2 linked regions of the Caenorhabditis elegans genome follow. The protein of the gene in region 2 purifies or fractionates together with the protein of the main gene of each other region. This does not show direct contact. Each region holds a gene or a part of one and is shown on either strand. Other genes may lie near its edges. The genes, in order: gly-5 and C06B3.6.

Region 1 (4,953 bases), on a different chromosome or scaffold from region 2:
TTTTAAATGAAAAACAAAAAAAAAATTGATTTTTTCTTTTTTAGGATTTTTTTAATCGACTTCTCGTTTTTTACAGATAATTGCAAGAAAATCGATTTTTCGATTTTTTTAAAAAGAAAATTTTTTGAAAAAATTCGATTTTTCTTCTTTTTTTCCGGAAAATCACAAAAAAACTTCAGTTTTTTAGGGAAATTTAAAAAAATTAATTTTTCGATTTTTATGAATTTTGGAATAAAAAAAAACCCACTCAGCATCAATATTAGTTGGCAAAGTTCGATGTACTGATATCATATCAGATGCGTATTGATTAAAAGCGTTGTTGAGCATTCCCTTGTCGTATTTTGCCTTTTCTTCGGTCGATAGTTTCTGAAAATTAGAAAGAAAATAAAGTTTTTTTTTTTCGTTGATTTTAAAGGCAAAACATCAAAATTTCGAAAAAAAAAGAACTAATTTCCACTAGAATCTTAGATTTTGGGGGCCGAAATCGGCCTAAAATGACCTAGAGTGGCTAAAAAATGATCGCGAATTGGATAAAAATGACTAAAAATTACCCAAAATCACCTAAAAATTACCTAATGTGACCAAAAAAAAAAATGAAAATTCGGCCAAAAATTACTAAAATTTCTAAATTTTGCTAAAAATACCTAAACGGACCAAAAATAATCAGCAGTCGGTTGAAAATGACTACAAATTACCGAAATTGGCCAGGAATGTCGAAAATATTTCATATTTAAAATAACTTGATATTTAAAATATTTTAGACATCATTTTTAATCATTTTTGGCCAATTTTCGAAAATTTCCGAGCACTGAAGTGATTAAAAATGTCTGAAAAATGACCAAATTTGGCCCAAAATAGGCGAAAAATGACCAAAAATGACATAAATATTTAAAATATTAAATATTTTAGAAATTTTTATTCATTTTTGTCCAATTTCAGTCATTTTTGGTGATTTTGGACCAAATTTGGTAATTTTTTAGTCTTTTTTTTAATGACTAAGCATAATCGAAAATCGGCCAAAAATGATTAAAAATGACCGAAAATATGTACCGTATTTCTTCTATTAATATGGCTGCAATAATATTTTTCGATGGTCTTCCGCTTGCAATACTAATAGGGAGTGCAAGACTATTAGGGAGTGCAATACTAATTTTCAGAACATTTTCTGACTTTGAGCTTACTAGTTTTTTTCCTGAAAAAACTCGAATCTTATGTGAAAATTCAGAAAATTTGATTGTAATTGCAACAAAAAGGTACAATAACTTCAATTTCATAGAAATTTTACCAAAATTGTTGCAAAGTAGGCAAAAAATGTTGTTAAAATCTCAAAATTAGTAGGGTGGGTTTGTACCAAAAAAAAAAAGTAGATGCAAGACTATTAGGGAGTGCAACACTAACTGCAATACTAATTTTCGGAGGGTTTTCAAGGAGCAATACTAATAGGGAGTGCAAGTCTAATAGGGAGGCCATATTAATAGAAGAAATACGGTATATTATATACATTTTAATCATTTTCGGCAAATTTCGGTCATTTTTAGTCATTATTGGCCAATTTTCGGCAATTTCCGAGCGCTGAAGTGACTAAAAATTTCTGAAAAATGACCAAATTTGACCAAAAATGATTAAAAATCGGCCAAAAATGACAGAAATTGACCAAAAATGACCAAAAATAACCAAATTTGGCCTAAAATTAACTAAAATTACTTAAAATGATGGAAAATCAGCCAAAAATCAGTAAAAAATGACCGAAATTGCCCTAAAATGATTAAAAATCTATACGGAATATTTTCATTTTTAAAATCATTTTTGGTAATTTTTGGCCAATTTAAGTCATTTTTGGCTCATTTTTTTCGCAATTTTGAGAATTTGAGCACATTTTGAGTCCACAAGTTCAAAGAACCGTTATTCCTCAAGAATAATCAAATTCTCACAGTTTTATCGACGACAACTGCCTTTCCAAGCTCTCCGGCTTGCGCTGCGTCTCCTTTTTTATAAATCGGATCGTTCGGATCGACCATAAATTTTGGTTTGGCCAAGTTCCCGCCGGGTTGCTCTTCTTCTTCCACTTTATTATTCTCTACGACAGGTTCCGGCTCAATCGGCGGCCCAAATCCTTGAATTACGTCTTGTTTCGCGGCTTTCGGGTGGAAATTCGCCTCCGCAATTTTATTCGCGAGATCGTTATTTGATCCGATCTGAAAATGGGATTTTAATCACATTTTTATTTTTTTTATTTTTGATTTTTGATACCTGGCTACTATCATTGCTGGTTGCTGCGAAAAAAATCAACGAGCAAATCCAAAAAACTGGAACCAAGAGGAGAACTTTTAATATCGCCTTTTTCTTGAATATAATCATTTCTCAGCGGCAAAATCGACCCGTATCTGCAAAAAAATTAATTTTTGATTAATTTAATTGGGAAATTTCTCAAAATATTTCGATTCAGCTCAGTAAAAACCAGTAAAAACTAAATTTTTCGACAAAAACTCCAAATAAGGACACATCGTCCACGTGTAGTACACGGGTGGTGACCTAGAAACCGACAACTACGTACTACACGTGGACAAAATCGGTGGAACATGTTTTTGGCAGGAATATGATGGAAAAACTATAATTTTCAGGAAAACTAATAAATAGCAACAAAAAAATCAATAGAAATTCGAAGAAAAATCAATATTTTCTAGTTTGACCTCAAAATGATCAAGTTTTCAATGTTAAAACAGATTTTTTTAGTTAGTTTTTTTCTTTTTTTTTCTTTAATATTGTTTAATATGACACTTTTCAGATTTTTGCGTCAGAAATACAGATCCAGGTCTCGACACGACAAATCCTTGTACTCATTGAAGGTGTGCGCCTTAAAATTAATTTTTCAGCTTTTTGAAATTTACTTTAGATATTTGATAATTTAATAGATTTTCATCGAAAAACTAAAAAATCAATAAAAATTCCGCAAATGAACAAGTTTGAAATTACAGTACTCTTTAAAGGCGCACACCTTTTTTCAAACATTTGTCGTGCCGAGACCCAGGGTACCGTAACCTACCGAAAATCCTCCGTTTTATGCTTCAATATCCCTCAATTTTGATAATATAAGTTTGCTGCCTGAAAAAAAACGAATTAAATTGTGAAAAGTAGTAGTAGTATTGGAAATTCGAGTAAAACAAGGAAATTTATAATGCAAACTTTTTCGGACCCAAGGCATACTGAATTCAAATTCACATTAAAAATTTTAGGTTGACGTGGACAATGACGATGAGCAGCAGCATGCAAGGCATGTTAACGATAATATTTGAACAGTTGGGAAGGGAAGGGAAGAGGGTGTATAAGAAGAGAGCATAGAACAGAACCACTATCTTTTTTAGCTTCTCTAATACCTCTTACTCTCTCTCTCTCACACTATATTTACTTTTTTCGGTGGTTTCGGTCAAGTTCAAATGTGCTCGAGAACTGTAATGTTTCAAGTTCGCAATGAGTCACGATTTCGATTTTCCGTGTATCCTAGAAATTTTGTGAGAGAAATAGTTTTAAATGACTCCCTGATTCCGAATATCTAAGTGAAAAAATTCTAAAAAATTTCCCTGATATTATATTTCAGCTTAAAATCGCGATGTGTCGATTTACGAGATTTTCAATATCTTCATTTTCGTCGCTTTTTTCCAAAGTTTCGTTTTTTAAGGTCAATTAAATATTATTTTGCCAAAAAACTAACAAAATTTCCATTTCTTAGGTCAAAACTCGACGAATTCCACGGAATTCTGGCTGTTTGCCGAACTAGGCCATTTTGGGTCGGAGAGATTTTGTGTAGATTTACGGCGCGTTGCGTGTCGCGTCGCGGCTCGTTTTAGTTGTAAAACTGAAGTTTGCTGTCCGTGAGGAGTACACGACACTTTTCCACGCGCTGTCCGGCAGGCGATTATCAATGGAGCGCGAAAATTCAATGAGAAATGCCCAGAACCCCGTGGACGAAAAATCCAAATATATGCTTTTCCCGCCTAAAAATCACAAATTTTGTTAGTTTTTTTAATGATATAACAAAAAAAGTGACCTTAAAAAAAGCACAGTTTTTTTTTTCACTTAAATATCGGAATCAGGGAGTCATTTTAAAATTGTTCTAAAAAGATTTCGATACTCCACATTATAAAATTTTTTACGTCAAAAACATCATTTCCCCCTTATCATCCATCTTACCATTCACACCCATTTTGCTCAAACAGACGCCCACGCCCTTTGCATACTTCTCAAATGGAAACTTCTATTGATAGTGAACCCAGAAGACAAAAGAGAAACGTGGTCATAACTGGGGGGAGTTGTTTGCTGGTTAGAAGAGCCCCGGACGTGCTCAATTGAGCATGACGAATAGGTTGGAGAAGAGAATGTCAGAGACACCTACTTGTAGTGAGAGGGGAACGAAAATGTCTATAGGCTAGGCTAAACTACAAATCATCTTATTTTTTCGATTAATGAAGAAAAAAAATATTTCGAAAAGGGCTTATGTTTGCAATTTTACTACAAAAATTCTGGAATTTCTAGGAAAAATGAGAACGCGAAAAAAAATTATTTGAAAAATTCATTTGGCGCGGTGAGACCCTTTCCAAAATTACTTTGTGCGAGCGCCTTTAAATTGATCTTAGAAAAATTGTTATTGTTTTCTTATAGTTACTAAGTAAGTAAGTAAGTTCTACTCGGTCACAAATTAGCTATAAAAATCTGTAAATTATAAGAAAATTTGAAAAAAAAACATTATACAGTAATCTTAAAGGTGCATACACAATTTTAATTCGAATTCCCGCCGAAATTTTTCTGAAGAAATTTGAATTCCCGCCAAATTTTTTCCATAGTAATTTGAATTCCCGCAAAAATTTTTCCATAGAAATTTGAATTCCCGCCAAAATGTTTCTAGAGATATTCTAATTCCGCACGTGGTGTTAAAGTGTCTTATTTTGGTTCGATCTA
Region 2 (3,563 bases):
GTTGTTTTTAATGTTTTCTAGTTATTTATTTTCAGCTCTCTGCTGGTATTCTTCCACAAATGGTGCCTCGAAAAGCTGGAATTATCGTCAATATTGGATCAGTTGCAGGATTAGCTACAATGGCTGAATGGTCGGTCTATTCTGCTACCAAGGTATTAATGCATGTGCATACTTTTCTTGATATACAAATATATTTTCAGAAATACGTTGAATGGATCACAGGATGTCTTCAAAAGGAATATGGACACCAAGGAATTATTTTCCAAGCTATCACCCCAGCAATGGTTGCAACAAAAATGGCTGGAAACCCGAATACGTCGTTCTTCACCCCTGACAGTGACACGTTTGCCAAGTCAGCTCTGAACACAATTGGGCATGCATCTCAAACAACTGGATACATTACTCATCAAATTGAATGCGAAATGCTGAAATTGCTTCCAGATTTTGTTATCGACAGATCCATTAAGCAAACAAGTGCTCAGCTCCGTGAGGCTCTGGCAAAGAATGAAAATAAGCCTTTGATGTAGATGTGGTTGAAACTTTATTAAATTTATTGTATTATTTACAATGAATTTTTTGATTTCCAAATTTATAAATAGAGTACATGAAATGTGAACTATGGCATTCCACATAGGGGCTATACTGTAACTGTTTTGTTATAACTATTAAACTAGTATATTTTTCATAAATACTTTATTAATAACCCGATATTTTTTCAGATCTATCATTCATTTGTAAAACATATAATTCATTCCACAGTCAGCCATCCTTTTGGCTTTCGTTGCTTTTTTGCTACAAAATGCTCGTCTAAATTGTAAAACCCTGTTGGTTTGGTAGTTTCGGTAGATTCGGCTTCCAAAGAAGCATTTTCCTTTTCGAGTTCTTCATGTTCTTCTTCGAGCTCTTTCATTTCGTATTGTAGTGCGGGCCAATCTTTAGAAGAATAGCCAAGGAATTCAGGATCTTAAATATCAAAATTTATATAGCCTGGATTTTTTAAATTATACTTACATCGAAGACCAATGTATCTGATACATTTATTGTCAAACACCTTTTTGTGATTCTTTGGAACTCGGACAATGTGGTAGCCAACAACTTTTTCCTCTTTTTTAGCATTGTCAATCTGACTAGAGTTGACGGGCTTCGAGTGGTTCACGCAGTCATGGGAATGGACGTTTCCGAGACTCCCTAAAACATAAAATTAATTATTATAAGGCCTAATTGTTCTGAAAACTTACACCAAGCAAAGTAGAGATCGGGAATTTCTCTATCAATAATCACTGATTTCGAGTCATCACCTTCAGATGATGAATCAAGGAATTCTTGATTAATCTCCCATCTTTTCTTTTTGTTAAGTGAATATACTACTAATGGCTCAAAATCTTTGGCCTCGGATGGAGCATCATTCTCAAAATGCTCAATTTTGACGATTGCTGAGTAGGTTGGAGCCTTTTTGATATAGAAATTCATAAGACGATTTCTGGCGTGGTCCTTAGCGTCTCTTTTCATTTTGAAAGTCTGAAAATCGGCACAAAATTTTTTGGAAAAGAGATGGAGAGAAAACTGGAGTTAGCATTAGGTGAAAGGTAAATTTGTAAGCAATAAAACATTTTCGAAAGTTGGAGCTGAGCGTAAATTTATTTCAAAAATTTTCAATGGAACATAAATAATTGTTCGTCTTCTTGGGTTTCAGCAGATTTATTTTTCCTGTTAAAACAATTTTGCAAATTCGGAATCAAATTTTTTATGGTAAAATTTCTGTCTACGAAAAATACACAGAAAAATGTTAAGTAAAAATCAACCATCGGAGTCCGACCTATTTTGAAAAAAGTGAGTTCAACAGTTAGATCGTTTTACCAAAAAAAAATGTAATTGAAATTGAAATTATAGTCAACAAAGTAGAAACAAAGTTGGGAAAATTTGTGGCTGGAAGAATTTTTTAAGAAAACATGAAAAATATAACATAAAAAAAGAGAATACAAACTGTTTGATAAAAACCTGATAAATTTAAATATTTTAAAAGTTTTGAAAAAAGTGACGTGATGGAAAAAGATCCAAAGTGAAAACGAATTGAAGCATGAGGTTATTTATACCAAATGTAACCGCATGACAGTTCAAAGAACCAGCAAGATAGCAAATGACTTGAAAACACACACCAATCAACTGACTCATGATCACCAATAAAACGTCACTATTCGCGGATGGGGAGGGAGGTTAGAGAACACAAACAAATGAGAATGGAAACCTTGAGGATTTCGCAATATTTTCCAATAAGTTAAAGAATTGCACATTACGCGAAAAAATGGATTTAAAAGGAGGCAAAAATATGAATATTTTATCAACCTATTCAAAGATTTTTGTATATTTTCCATGGAAGCTGATCAGGAATATTTCTGGTGAGTAAGCTTTTTATATTACTTCTCCGCATGTTTTTCTGTTTATTTACGAGAAAACGTAGTGTAGGCATAAAATGTGTAATCGTTGAACCCTTCAGGGAACAATACTTGAAAAATAGTCTGGTGTTTTCTGAAGTTTCACTTTTGATTATTGTGCTAGTGGATCAAAAATCTGGAGAAAAAAATAACAACAAAATTGAAATGAGTTTATGTTCGAGAACTTTGAAAAATGTTAAAAATTGGATCGTTAATTGTTTTTTTTAACTTTAAGGGCAAGTTTTTGAGCCTACCTGCCTACCTTTTTTAATGACCCACGATGCTAGGTTTAAACAGTGTAGATTTACCCATTTTTATGTTCACTTTTCTATCAATTTGTATGAAGTGTGCGGGAAAAGTTTAGACTCCCGTAGGTAGGTGTAAATTTGACAGTTTTTTCAAAGATAACGTGTGAACAATGACGTACTTGCTTATTTCTTTGACAAGAGCGACAAAATTGAATACACAGATTTGAGCCATTTTGCATGTGAAATTTTCTCTTCAATTACATCAACAAAAATGAAATAGATTTTATTTTTAAACAATTTCACCAAAAACCAAGCAACGTCAATTTTTACCAAAAAATCTTTCTGTAAATCAGTTAAAAAATTTACTTTACAATTCAGGAACTCTTTTTAAAGTATTTTATAGGTCTGATGAATGCAAAAACCCACGCCAATCACAAAGCTATGATAGCCACGCTGGTGTCGAACACCAGTTGGCTTCTTTAAAAGACAAGTCAATAATAGTGAAGACATATTATGTTTGGACTGGAGAAGATCAATTTACAAATAGATATTTGGAGAAATTTGACAGAAATGTTATGAGCAAAGACTTGAAACCATTTGTTATGTATTCAATGAACAAGAGAAGAAATTGGGAAATTGATAAATCAGATCGGGTAGAACTTATGGGACAAATACAGGAGTTGCATAAAGGGGAAGATGTTATGTTTTTGGAAAGAGTTTCAATGAGCACTTGGGAATGGCAAAGTGAGTAGCAAAAAATGGGAAAAATTCAGATAGTATCATATTGGATACTTATTTCCAGCTATCTTCCGATACGAGTTTTATTGGAATGAACTCAAAATATGTACAATGCATGAATTGGACACTTATGCTGATGTCAAAC

What was found.
Region 1: the proteins of C06B3.6 (region 2) and gly-5 fractionate together in Caenorhabditis elegans (co-fractionation; one large-scale study listed by BioGRID). This does not show direct contact.

The regions. Positions count from the first base shown.
Region 1 is NC_003281.10:13,185,541-13,190,493, reverse strand, and holds the start of gly-5 (Polypeptide N-acetylgalactosaminyltransferase 5), read right to left. Parts: upstream 3,103-4,953; 5' UTR 3,044-3,102; intron 2,385-3,043; 5' UTR 2,359-2,384; coding exon 2,251-2,358; intron 2,196-2,250; coding exon 1,932-2,195; intron 367-1,931; coding exon 248-366; intron 1-247. UniProt on the Caenorhabditis elegans protein: Catalyzes the initial reaction in O-linked oligosaccharide biosynthesis, the transfer of an N-acetyl-D-galactosamine residue to a serine or threonine residue on the protein receptor.
Region 2 is NC_003283.11:13,907,450-13,911,012, forward strand, and holds C06B3.6 (DUF3444 domain-containing protein), read right to left. Parts: upstream 1,519-3,563; 5' UTR 1,510-1,518; coding exon 1,239-1,509; intron 1,189-1,238; coding exon 1,012-1,188; intron 964-1,011; coding exon 749-963; 3' UTR 681-748; downstream 1-680. Other genes in the region: stdh-1 (Putative steroid dehydrogenase 1), read left to right, coding at 36-152, 201-527; C06B3.7 (uncharacterized protein), read left to right, coding at 2,371-2,396, 3,084-3,424, 3,483-3,563.